Linked DNA regions of Oryctolagus cuniculus. The protein of the gene in region 1 interacts with the protein of each later gene in a pairwise test. Links are inferred from orthologs where the notes say so. Each region holds a gene or a part of one and is shown in the gene's direction. Other genes may lie near its edges.

The links.
Region 2: the proteins of CUL3 (region 1) and SHKBP1 interact in binary tests that used the Homo sapiens proteins (3 or more experiments, as listed by UniProt). The link is inferred for Oryctolagus cuniculus from reciprocal best matches to the Homo sapiens genes CUL3 and SHKBP1.
Region 3: the proteins of CUL3 (region 1) and ZMAT4 interact in binary tests that used the Homo sapiens proteins (3 or more experiments, as listed by UniProt). The two-hybrid records come from large-scale screens. The link is inferred for Oryctolagus cuniculus from reciprocal best matches to the Homo sapiens genes CUL3 and ZMAT4.

Annotation. Positions count from the first base shown.
Region 1 is NC_091434.1:14,714,417-14,718,336, forward strand, and holds part of CUL3 (cullin-3), read left to right. Parts: intron 1-144; coding exon 145-373; intron 374-3,920. UniProt on the Homo sapiens protein: Core component of multiple cullin-RING-based BCR (BTB-CUL3-RBX1) E3 ubiquitin-protein ligase complexes which mediate the ubiquitination and subsequent proteasomal degradation of target proteins.
Region 2 is NC_091449.1:13,777,347-13,781,266, reverse strand, and holds part of SHKBP1 (SH3KBP1-binding protein 1), read left to right. Parts: intron 1-20; coding exon 21-182; intron 183-259; coding exon 260-350; intron 351-434; coding exon 435-625; intron 626-1,017; coding exon 1,018-1,133; intron 1,134-1,429; coding exon 1,430-1,517; intron 1,518-2,031; coding exon 2,032-2,148; intron 2,149-3,884; coding exon 3,885-3,920.
Region 3 is NC_091433.1:91,224,188-91,228,107, reverse strand, and holds part of ZMAT4 (zinc finger matrin-type protein 4), read left to right. Parts: intron 1-2,746; coding exon 2,747-2,903; intron 2,904-3,920.

The DNA of each region.
Region 1 (3,920 bases):
CTATGTATGAATTTACATAGGGGAAATTATATAAAAATTGATAATCTTTAGGTTATTTAGGCTGATTTATGAGAAAACTCTGTAGAAACCCAATAAATACCTTCTGCATTTTAAAGGAAAAAAAATCATTCTTATTAATTACAGATGGAAAGCCAGAAATTTTTAGCAGAGAACAGTGCTTCCGTATATATAAAGAAAGTAGAAGCTAGAATTAATGAAGAAATAGAACGGGTGATGCACTGCCTTGACAAATCAACTGAAGAACCAATTGTAAAAGTGGTTGAGAGGGAACTCATTTCCAAGCACATGAAGACTATAGTAGAAATGGAGAATTCTGGTCTAGTCCATATGTTGAAAAATGGAAAGACAGAAGGTAGGTGTGTTACCAGTTGAAAATCAGTTAAATTCATATATGACCTATCAATTTTTTTATTCTTCTGCAATTAAAGTAGATTATAAATGTCGGTTTTCAGGAAGTTGTGGTTTGTGTCATTAATTTATTACCTTGTTACTTTCTTTTTTACAATTTTAGGTAGTTCTAGTGAATTGAATGACTTTTCTTTTTCTCCTATCCCTCAAGTCTCCTCACTTTGTTTTTCTTATGTGGACAGTAAGAGGTTTAATAATATTGATGTGACTCGTAGTTGAGCTCCTTATTCATTTCTGTATTTTATTTTTATATAGTGGTGGATTTGGCTACTTACTATGCCCATGTACTCTCAAGTTTTTGTGATTCTTTTAAAATCTGAAATCCACATTTTAAAATTTCTGTAGGATTTTCTGTGGAACTTAATTTTGATAAGTGAGCCAAAATGTAAAAATAAGTTTTTTTAAATTATTAGTAAAATACATACAGGGATATGTGTGATTCCATTATACATATTTCTCAAATGTTGTTAGTACTTGTTGACTTGTAATTTCCTATTAATGAAAACTTGAAACTTTACAATTTCAAACCAACTAAATTATTGAAGGTGAAGCTAAATAAAAATACTGACATATTTAGGAAAACTAATAGATTGGTTTGGAGGAACTCTGAAGTGATAGACTGGTAGAAAAGGAGTAGAAATTACAGAAATTAAAGGTAAGCATTTTTGACCTAATTGTAACATTTATTCTTTAGGGCTTTTTTCTTCCTGTTTAAAAAAAAAAATATTGAGCAGCCTAGGAGAAATATTAGAAGTAGAACAACAACAATCAAAGGATCTCATTCTTCTAAAATTTAAATTTTTCACTTTCTAAACTACTGATAATGGTAATAAACATAAGTAAGCATGATTTATTCTTGCTTTCTTTCCTTGATGAAATCTTAGCAATAACTTAGCCATTTATCCTTACTAAAGGAAATACATGTTTCCTATTGGGTTCATGACCTAAGAAGCAGGGAATGAAAAACATCTTTATGTGAGAGGCAGAGAGAATGCCCCCTTCCTGCTGATCCCCAGATGTCCAAACTTGCAGGAGCTGAGCCTGGCCTGAATTGGGAACCGGGAAATCAATCTAGGTCTCCAACATCATTTGCAGGAACCCAATTAGTTGAGCCATTCATTACCTGCTACTTCTAGAGTACATTTTAGCTAGAATTGGAACTGAGAGCCAGAACCCAGATATGGGCATGCCAGCTGGCATCTTAACCACTCGGCTAACCACCTATCCAGGAAACAGTTTTTCAAAGAAGAGTTGCAAAGGGAGGAAGGTGCATAAGAAAGGAAAAGAAAACTGATAGGAGGAGGGGATTACTCATCTTTTTTTTTTTTTTTTTTTTTTTTTTTGACAGGCAGAGTGGACAGTGAGAGAGAGAGACAGAGAGAAAGGTCTTCTTTTTTTGCCATTGGTTCACCCTCCAATGGCCGCCGCGGCCGGCGCACCGTGCTGATCCGATGGCAGGAGCCAGGTACTTCTCCTGGTCTCCCATGGGGTGCAGGGCCCAAGGACTTGCGCCATCCTCCACTGCACTCCCGGGCCACAGCAGAGAGCTGGCCTGGAAGAGGGGCAACTGGGACAGAATCCGGTGCCCCGACCGGGACTGGAACTCAGTGTGCCGGCACCGCAAGGCGGAGGATTAGCCTAGTGAGCCGCAGCGCTGGCCCATCTATTTTTACTAGTGAAATTCTTGCCTTGTGTTTTTTAATGGTTACATTTCTGTATATGTGACAAATTCATAAAAGTTGTATGTAACTTTGTTGTTTTTATTAAATTTTATTAAATTAAATATCTTAATAAAAGATATTAAATCAGAAACTTCTAATAGGATTTGTCTGATAAACTTGTTTGGTAAAAGCAAAAAAACAAAACAAAAATCATGTTTTAGTTTGTTTGCCATGTTTTATAAAATAAGGTACTCTTGTAACGTTTAAACCGGGGATAGGTGAAGTTCTTTTGGTAAAGGACAAGCTAGTCAATATTTTAGGCTCCGAGGCTATACATTCAATTACTCATCTCTGCTGTCATAGTGAGGATGTAGCCTTAGACAGTAACTCAAATGAATATGCTTGACTGTGTCCGTATAAAACTATTGGATTTTCAGATGTCACTAAATATTTTTCTTTTAATATTTTCTGCAACCATTAAAAAATGTGAAAACCATTTTTAATTTATGAGCTGATCAAAAATAAGTGCCAGCCTGTATTCAGTCCACAGGCTGTAATTTGATGAGCCCTGGCTGAGTAGGACTTTATGAAAAGTGAGAATGATTGTCTATATTAACTGATGTACTATTCAAGGATTGATTTAGTGCTTTCCTGCTTACCTTTAGAATGTGTGGGGAGAGGTGATTAAATACTCAAAAGATTAGGGCTAGGAAATGTTTGATGAAGAGATTGTTGGGATATTCCTGAATTAATACCATCTCTATAACCTGCATGGAGACTTGTGTTAAAGGTATTAATTATGCCTAACATACTTACTTAATGTTTTCAGCAAGTATTTGTGACTCTAAATTAAATTTTTCAATTTTGCCTTCAATTTATTTGAACTGCTGCTGGAAACCTAATTGTGAAATGTCTTAATTGTGGTAGGCCCTGCTCTTGAGCAGTATGTTGAAAGAATATCAGAGACACAACTTCATCATTATGAAGCCAAATTCTCATAAATCAGAAAGTAAAAGACAACTTTGTCACTGTGAATGGAAGATAAAGTTGGATTATTAGATGCAGACAGCACTATGAAATTAAGTTCAAATGGTATCTTTTTATTGTCTTATTAAGTGTATATAGAAATAATGATACTTGATTTTTGAATTTCAAATATTTTTCATTAACTTTTCCATTCTCTACTACCTCATACATTTAAATGAGTACAGTGAAAGTATCTCATACAACATGCAATATCTAAATAAAATTTATAACAACACAAAATACTCAAGTGGGCAACTATTTTGTTAGAGGTATTTATGTCAAATTTACTATTTTACATATTCATAAATAGCTATTGCAATTTTAACACCTATTTTTAAAAGGCGTAACATTTGTATATTCATTATTTGAAAGGCAGAGAGAGAGAGCGCGATCTTCCATCTGCTGGTGCACTCTCCCTATACCGGCGGCAACCAGGGCTGGGCCAGTGTGAAGCCAAGAGCCCAGAACTCCGTTTGAGTATCCAGTATGAGTGGCAGGAACTGAAGTATTTGGGACATTATCTGCTACTTTCTCAGTGGCATTAACAGGAAGCTGGATCAGAAGAGGAGGAGCCAGGACCATAATAGGCACTCAGATAAGATGTGTAGGAATTCCCAAACAGCGGTTTAACCCTCTGTGTCACAGTACCCACTCCCAAAATGTCTATTTTTCATACAGGAATTTTGATTATAATTTATGAAGAATATGAAGGTACTTCAAAAAGATTGTGGAAAAATGGAATTAAAAGATATGTGAAATGTGTGTTTGTAATAGTTAAGATTCCAGTTGGGATACTCATGTTCT
Region 2 (3,920 bases), on another chromosome or scaffold:
CCGCCCCTCCTCCCCACCAGTGTTTCCGGTGAAGCGGAGGAGCCGGCACAGCCTGGTGGGACCCCAGCAGGTAGGAGGGCGCCCAGCTCCTGTTCGCCGGAGCAACACGATGCCCCCTAACCTGGGCAATGCAGGGCTGCTGGGGCGGATGCCGGATGAGAGGGCCCCACCCTCTCCGTCAGGTAGGTGCCTGGCCTTGCCGTCCGCGCAGCCCGCGGGGCCCCGTGACCCTGCCCTCAGCCCTGCCCTTCCCTCCAAGGGCAACCCGAGGAGCCGGGGATGGTTCGCCTGGTCTGCGGACACCACAGCTGGATCGCCGTGGCCTATACCCAGTTCCTTGTCTGCTACAGGTGCTCAGGGAGGGGCCGGGAGGTCTGAGCCCCATGGACAGGGCGGGCGTGAGGGCAGGGGTGATGGCGTCCCCCATTCTGCAGGCTGAAGGAAGCCTCCGGCTGGCAGCTGGTGTTCTCCAGCCCCCGCCTGGACTGGCCCATTGAGCGCCTGGCGCTCACAGCCCGCGTGCCCGGCGGCGCCTTGGGCGAGCACGACAAGATGGTGGCCGCGGCCACGGGCGGCGAGATCCTGCTGTGGGCCCTGCAGGCAGAAGGCGGTGGCTCGGAGATAGGTACGGCCCCAGGCCTTTTCCAGAAACTTCTTCCCCTCAGACTCCCGCGGCCTGTGCACCAGTCCTCTGCCGCCTTAGATCTCGGGCTCCTCGGGGTGCTCCGGCCATTAGCATGCCTGAACGGCGCGGGAAACCCACATGCAGTTCCCGCCTCCACCAGGCGCCCCCTGCCTTGTCAGGTCCCCGCCTTGCCGGAGCGCTCCAAGCTCGCAGAGCCCGGGTCTGTCCCCATGAGGAGTCTCCGGCTTGCGGGACAGGTCTGCCTGTTGGCGTCCTCAGAGCTGGCGGCTCCTCGGTCCCTGGAGTTCTTCCTGCAGTGTCCTCCCCCCCCTCCCCATCCCCCACCCCTGCCCCGCCAGGCACCCCCGCTGAGCCCTCCTTGCCCTCCGCAGGGGTCTTCCATCTGGGGGTGCCGGTGGAGGCCTTGTTCTTTGTCGGGAACCAGCTCATCGCCACGAGCCACACAGGGCGCATCGGGGTGTGGAACGCCGTCACCAAGCACTGGCAGGTAGGCCTCCGCTAGCCTGGCTGCCCCCGCTTCCAGGCTCTGCCCTGCAGGGACCTGGCGCGTGGGTTCCCTTCTGTGCCCTCCCTGGGGAGAGAGCCCGAGAACACAGCAGTGGGCCAGAACCAGGGGATGAGTGTGATGGCAGCCTAAGGAGCCTCAGGGAGGCCAGAAATACAGTGTGGAGGAGAAACTCGGAGCACAGGGACAGAGCCACCCACGCCCAGGGGTCGCAGGAGAACAGCTGGAAACAGGCTGGGGAGGGTGTGTCTCCAGGGGCCCTGTCCCGCCCACCGCAGGTGCAGGAGCTGCAGCCCATCACCAGCTATGACGCGGCCGGCTCCTTCCTTCTCCTGGGCTGTAACAACGGCTCCATCTACTACGTGGGTGAGCAGCCCCCACCCCCCAGAAACAGCAGGGGGAGGGCACAGGGAGGGTGTCGTGAGTGAGCCTGCCACGGCCCCCTGCCCCACGGGGAGGGTGCCCTGAGTAAGCCCGCCACGCTCCCCTGCTTGAGGGAGCCTGCCACACCCCTCAGCCCCACAGGGAGGGCGCCCTGAGCCAGCCTGCCACACCCCCCTGCCCCACGGGGAGGGCGGGGAGGGCGTCTTGAGGGAGCCTGCCACGCCCCTCAGCCCCATGGGGAGGGCTCCCTGAGTAAGCCCGCCACGCCCCCCTGCGTGAGGGAGCCTGCCACGCCCCCCTGCCCCACTGGGAGGGCTCCCTGAGTAAGCCCGCCACGCCCCCCTGCGTGAGGGAGCCTGCCACGCCCCCCTGCCCCACTGGGAGGGCGCCCTGAGTAAGCCCGCCACGTCCCCCTGCGTGAGGGAGCCTGCCACGCCCCTCAGCGCCACGGGGAGGGCGCCCTGAGCGAGCCTGCCACGTCCCCCTGCCCTCCCAGACGTGCAGAAGTTCCCCCTGCGCATGAAAGACAACGACCTCCTGGTCAGCGAGCTGTACCGCGACCCAGCGGAGGACGGGGTCACCGCCCTCAGCGTCTACCTCACCCCCAAGACCAGTAAGCTGAGACCCCGCTGCCCTCCCTGCTGGAGCCCCGCCTTGGCCCCGGCCCCGCCCGCAGCTGTCTTCTCCCATGGGTGTGGCCTTAACAAAGGGGGCAGGATCCAACCCTCATGTAGTCGCTCAACAAACACCCACTGAGCGCGCCTTGTGTCCCAGCTGTTCTAGGCGCTCCTGCAGGGGCGCCATGGCCCCTGGGGCCCCCTTTGTATTTCTTTCCCATCTCTGCGAGGGGGCGTGACTTTTGCACGTCCACATAGCACAGGGTAGTGCATTCTACAGGGGACAAAGCTGTGATCTCTTACTTGAGAGTTTTTTGGTTGTTTTTTGGTCGGTTTCTGTTTGAGATTAAAGTCCTAAGACGTAACGTTCACACTTTTAAAGTATATTCACAAGGTTGTACAACAACCGCCACTGTCGAATCCCAGAACATTCTCATCGCCCCCCGTGGGAAGCTCCTACCCGTTAGCCGTCACCCCCTTCCCCGCTCCCGACAGCCTCTGGGAACCACTGGTCTCCATCACGTTCTGTGGATTTGCCTGTTCTGAGTGTTTCATGTAAATGGAATCAAAGGCTGTGGCCTTTCGTCTGGTGTTTTTTGCTTAGCATAATACTCGTCCATGCGGGTTTTGTTGGTTGGTAGGTTTTGTTACTTGAAAGGCAGAGAAAGAGAGAGCTGCCATCTGCTGCTTCTCTCCCCGAATGCCCCCAGTGGCCGCCGGGGACTGAGTCCAGGAGCTGGGAACTTAGTCCAGGTCTCCCACATGAATGGCAGGGAGCCAACTACAGAGTCGGGAGCCAGAGCCGGGCATTAAACCCAGCCGCCTCCCATGGGGATGTTGGTGCCGACCCGTGCCTAACCCCCAGGCCCACTCCCCACTCCCAGTTGTTTGCTTTTGTTTTTTGTCACTAGTGCTTTCTGAATCTTCAGATGTCCTTACCTACCCGCGGGCTGTATTCCCCAGTGTTTTCTTCCAGAAGCTTCTCGCTTTAGCTTTCACACACGGGTCTCTCCCATCTCTACCTTGACTGTGGGGTGTGAGGTAGGGGTGTGAGTTCACGTCTCCCAGCAGGAGAAGGTTGGCTGATGACCCCAGCTTCAGGGCGTGCGGCCTTTACTCCATGTGAGGCGCTCATTCCTACACTCACTCCGTTCCTCCCACTGCGTGCCACCATTTCCAGGCTTAACATGTCACCTTACAGGGTAGGCGTCGTGGGCGCGTTTTGGCACGGGTCACGTGGCTCCGCTTCCGTCTGCCCTGGGCTCGCTCCCTGTCCGCATTCCCACGTGTCGCCCTAACCCACAGCTGTGCCTGCTGCACACAGTGTTGAAACCTCCGTCAAATTTCTGAGAGTTGCAAACTATAATTCTTCCCTGGTAGAAAGTGCAGGGCTGGGAGTCCCTCGGGCCGTCTGGGTTCCATTTTCTTGTCTTGTTCTCCGTGTTTCTAGGTCTCTTTCTATGTTTATCTCTGTAGTTCCATCCCCGGGTCTCTGCCTGTCTGTCTCTCTGATGTCCTTCCTGCATGTCCCTGTTTCTCACGTTCTCGCTCTCTGTCTCCGTCATTAGCCGTTTCCGTCTGAGTTCCCATCTCTGCATCTCTCTCTCTGATCTGTGCCCTTCGCACCCTCCTCCTCCTCCGTCTCCCGCATCTTCTCTCCCTTCTTCCCAGCTCGCCCTCTCCCTGTTGCGTGGTTGTTGCTCGCTCTCCGTAACGCAGGCCCTCCCTGCAGGCGACAGCGGGAACTGGATCGAGATCGCCTACGGCA
Region 3 (3,920 bases), on another chromosome or scaffold:
AATGAAAGACAGTGTTTCCTTGATGAGCAAACTTTCCATTCTTTTCTGTCTGCTTCTCCCACTTCCTCCAGCACCAGTGTCTTTGCTAATGGGTAGCAGAGCCATGTTCATTTAGCACAGTGTCCAGCACACTTAGTAGGTCCTTAGGAATGTGTTGAATGCACAGATCTCATAAATCCAGGGAACAGTTTGCTGCCCTGAAAGCTAGTTCTGAGTATTCTTATTTTTTTGACAGGCAGGAGTGGACAGTGAGAGAGAGAGACAGAGAGAAAGGTCTTCCTTTTGCCGTTGGTTCACCCTCCAATGGCCGCCGCGGCCGGTGCACCACGCTGATCCGAAGGCAGGAGCCAGGTGCTCCTCCTGGTCTTCCATGGGGTGCAGGGCCCAAGCACTTGGGCCATCCTCCACTGCACTCCCTGGCCATAGCAGAGAGCTGGCCTGGAAGAGGAGCAACCGGGACAGAATCCGGCGCCCCGACCGGGACTAGAACCCGGTGTGCCAGCACCGCAAGGCGGAGGATTAGCCTAGTGAGCCGCGGCACCGGCCTGAGTATTCTTGGTGTGGGGGTGTCAGCCACCTGTGTCTGGACTCCTGGCCTTTCTTTGGAGAGTTCTCCATGTTCAAGGCCTAGGGAGGGAGGCTGCACTTGCTGGAGCTTCCTCAGGACACAGCAGGCAGTGTGCCGAGAGCCCAGGACTGTGGGTTGAACACTGTCTTAGGATCTCATGACTGAATTTTTAAAAATATTACACACTTTGATCTATATCCTGCTAAAAGTAGGTTAAAAAATTAGGATAATTCAAACACCCACATTCACCTTGACAAGCTTTCCTCTTAAAACATGATGGGACGAACAAACATTGTCTTCCACATGGAGGGACAGCACGGGCTTGGACCCTCTGTTCCTCCGGGGCTGCCCACTCCTCTCTGGATGGCTGGGATCCTTCAGGAACTCCACGATCTGCCGTTTACAGGCATTTCCGGGCTGTCCCCTTTGTAGGACACTGAACCTTCTCCCAGGCTTCCTTGCTGAGGTGGCCTAGGGGAAGCTACCAGCACCTATCCGTGGCTGTTCCATTTCCTACCACATTAGTTTCCAAGAGAAGGCTCCTCCAGTCTCCAGGAGATCCACTTCCTACCAGAAAATCCATGTCCTACCCCTGGTGTTTGAGAACTCTCCTTCCTGGCCACGTCTGAGTTGCGGGCCAGTCTCCTGGGGCACACACACCCCTTGCTCTCACCCAGCCCTTCCCCCAAGGTCGGAAAACCAATCATCAGAGATGTCACAGCCTGATGCCTTGCGTAGTTTTCCAACTCACACATAATTTGGAAGGCAATGCTTTCTCCAGCAGTCTGGATGCCTCATTATTATGCAGAAAAGCGTCTACAATTCCTCTTCCTCCACCCTGTCCAGACCCTCATCTTCTTCCCTGTCCAATTTTAAATCGCAGCGTCTGAGCCATCTGGGAATAAGAGTAGGGGCCATTGTGGGGACTGGCACTCTCTCTGACAAAGAGGTGCTTTGCCATTGCTGTTCCATTTAGAGATAGATTAACTCCTTATCTAAGAGTCCGCTCTACCCTCAATTTCCAATGAGGCAGGAGGCGAGGCAAGGATTAATCTCCACCTTGCATAAATACAGGCAATTGACGACCTGTGTGCACAATGGCCAGGCCACATGATCTGACAAAGGATTTACTTCTTCTGAGTCATGATTCGTTCTCATTAAGTCCTACAAAGGCATTGAAATCAGGCTGCTCTAAGCATTTGCTGCAGACTTAACGAATCACCTTTCCCGAGGAAGGAGGAAATTGCACAGATCTCCCAGGAAATCCAGCCAGCTCAGTCATCGTAGCTTCATGATATAGACTTGAGTTAATTATGAAAAATGTCCAATTCCTTAAAGTAACAAAATTCAAAAAAAAAGTCCTGCACATCACAGCCATGTATCCTGGTGAGGCTGAACTGGGCGAAAGGCAGAGCTGAATGTCAAATGATAATTCCTGCTAAATAATTCAGGCCCTGGGAACTCTGATATTTTACTTAACGTTAATGAGTATAATGGGTGCAATTAGAGGCTGCTGCTTCTCCGCCCCCCGTGCTAGACACAGATGTACTCCGGCCTCCATGCGGGCTCCACCTGTCTTGGGGTAACTCCTTCCTGGATTTCAGCTTCTGCCATTAGTAGACACTAAATAAATGGATGTTGAAGTCAGCCACTGAGCATGCTTTGCCAGTGACTATCATGGAGAGAGAGAGAAAGAGGTAGCAGAACAAAAAGGAGACAATTGTAGCCAGTGCTGTGGTGTTTTGGGTAAAGCCGCCGCTTGTAGTGCTGGCATCCCATATGGGTACCAGTTCAAGTCCCGGTTGCTCCACTTCCGATCCAGCTCTCTGCTATGGCCTGGGAAAGCAGTAGAAGGTGGCCCAAGTGCTTGGGCCCCTGCACCCACATGGGAGACCCAGAAGAGGCTCCTGGCTTCGGATCGGCACAGCTCTAGCCATTGTGGCCAACTGGGGAGTGAACCAGCGATGAAAGACCTTTCTCTCTCTCTCTCTTTCTTTCCCTCTCTCTGCCTCTCCTTCTCTCCCTGTGTAACTCTTTCAAATAAATAAATAAATAAATCATAAAAAGAAGACATTTTCATAAGCTAGTCTGTTTGCAAAAGGAAAAATTAAAAAAAAAAAAAGAAGTCTTAGGGCTTAGGTTTCTCTCTAAGGTTATTTTCTCTTTCTTCCCACACAGGGAAGTGACGCCGATCTGGTGGATAAAAACAAATGCTGCACTCTCTGTAACATGTCCTTTACCTCTGCCGTGGTGGCCGACTCGCATTATCAAGGCAAAATCCACGCCAAAAGGTTAAAACTGTTGCTAGGAGAGAAAACCCCATTAAAGACTACAGGTATGTGTGTCAGCGATCATCCCCGGGGGGAGGCACCAGCAACCGAAAGCTGTGCCAGCCACGTGAATCACGCTGTCTCCTTGCAGGCGGCATCAGGGTCTGACGGCATATGTCACCCACGGGGCGGGAGGGGGGATGGGCGGGGGCGCCCCCGGCAGCGGCTGCTGTCATGGATCCTGAGGTCCAGGGGCTCATTTGGTCTGTCTGAGGGCTCCTGTAGGTTAGCGATACAGCAGCTTGCGTCTATGGCACGGCTGTTTACACGGTGCAAGGTGCTGTCTTCTGTCTGTTCTGTATTATGCGCTCTGTTATAGCTATTGTGTCCTTCGCTGGATGGATTCCGTCTGTGAGCAGCGTGGATAATGGAGAGCGTATTGTGTGCGTGTGTGAGAGAGGCAGACCCCCTCCCAAGCTCTGCAGAAGAAAGGCTATTATTGTCACCTTGTTCTTACCTTGAGTGGGTGGGTGAGGGAGTCGGTAGGGGTTGGCAGAAGAACAATTGTCATCTTAAGAAAAAAAAAACAACCACTTTATTTTGCAGAAAATGCGATTTTTTCCCCCCAACAGGCGTCCCTGTCATCTTTGCCTTTACCGGTGACAGATGAAAGTTTAAATATTGATAGCAGATTATTTGACCTTCCGATGGCTTCGCTTAAAACATTCTGCAGAGGTGTGTAAGTCGCGAAGCTGAGGATGCTGTTCTGATGCCTTCGAGACGGGGTTTGTCTTGTGGCCAAGGTGCTACTAGAGTGGGGGTGTTCGTCATGATGTCTGCTCTTTCAATGCAATTAAAATTTGGCAATGCATTTTTTGTCTCCTTGTCTAATGAATCGTGCATAAATCGTGGGTGTAATTATTTTTTAAGTGGTATTTTGGAAATCAGAGGGAGTCTCAAACAATCCTTGGCTATTATCCTCACCAGTGTTTTTCTTAAGGAAAACGTCTTGTTTCACCCAGAGAAGAGCAAGGGATCTTTGCACTCTTCTTTTACTTATTTATTTTTTTCTACTGAGTTTA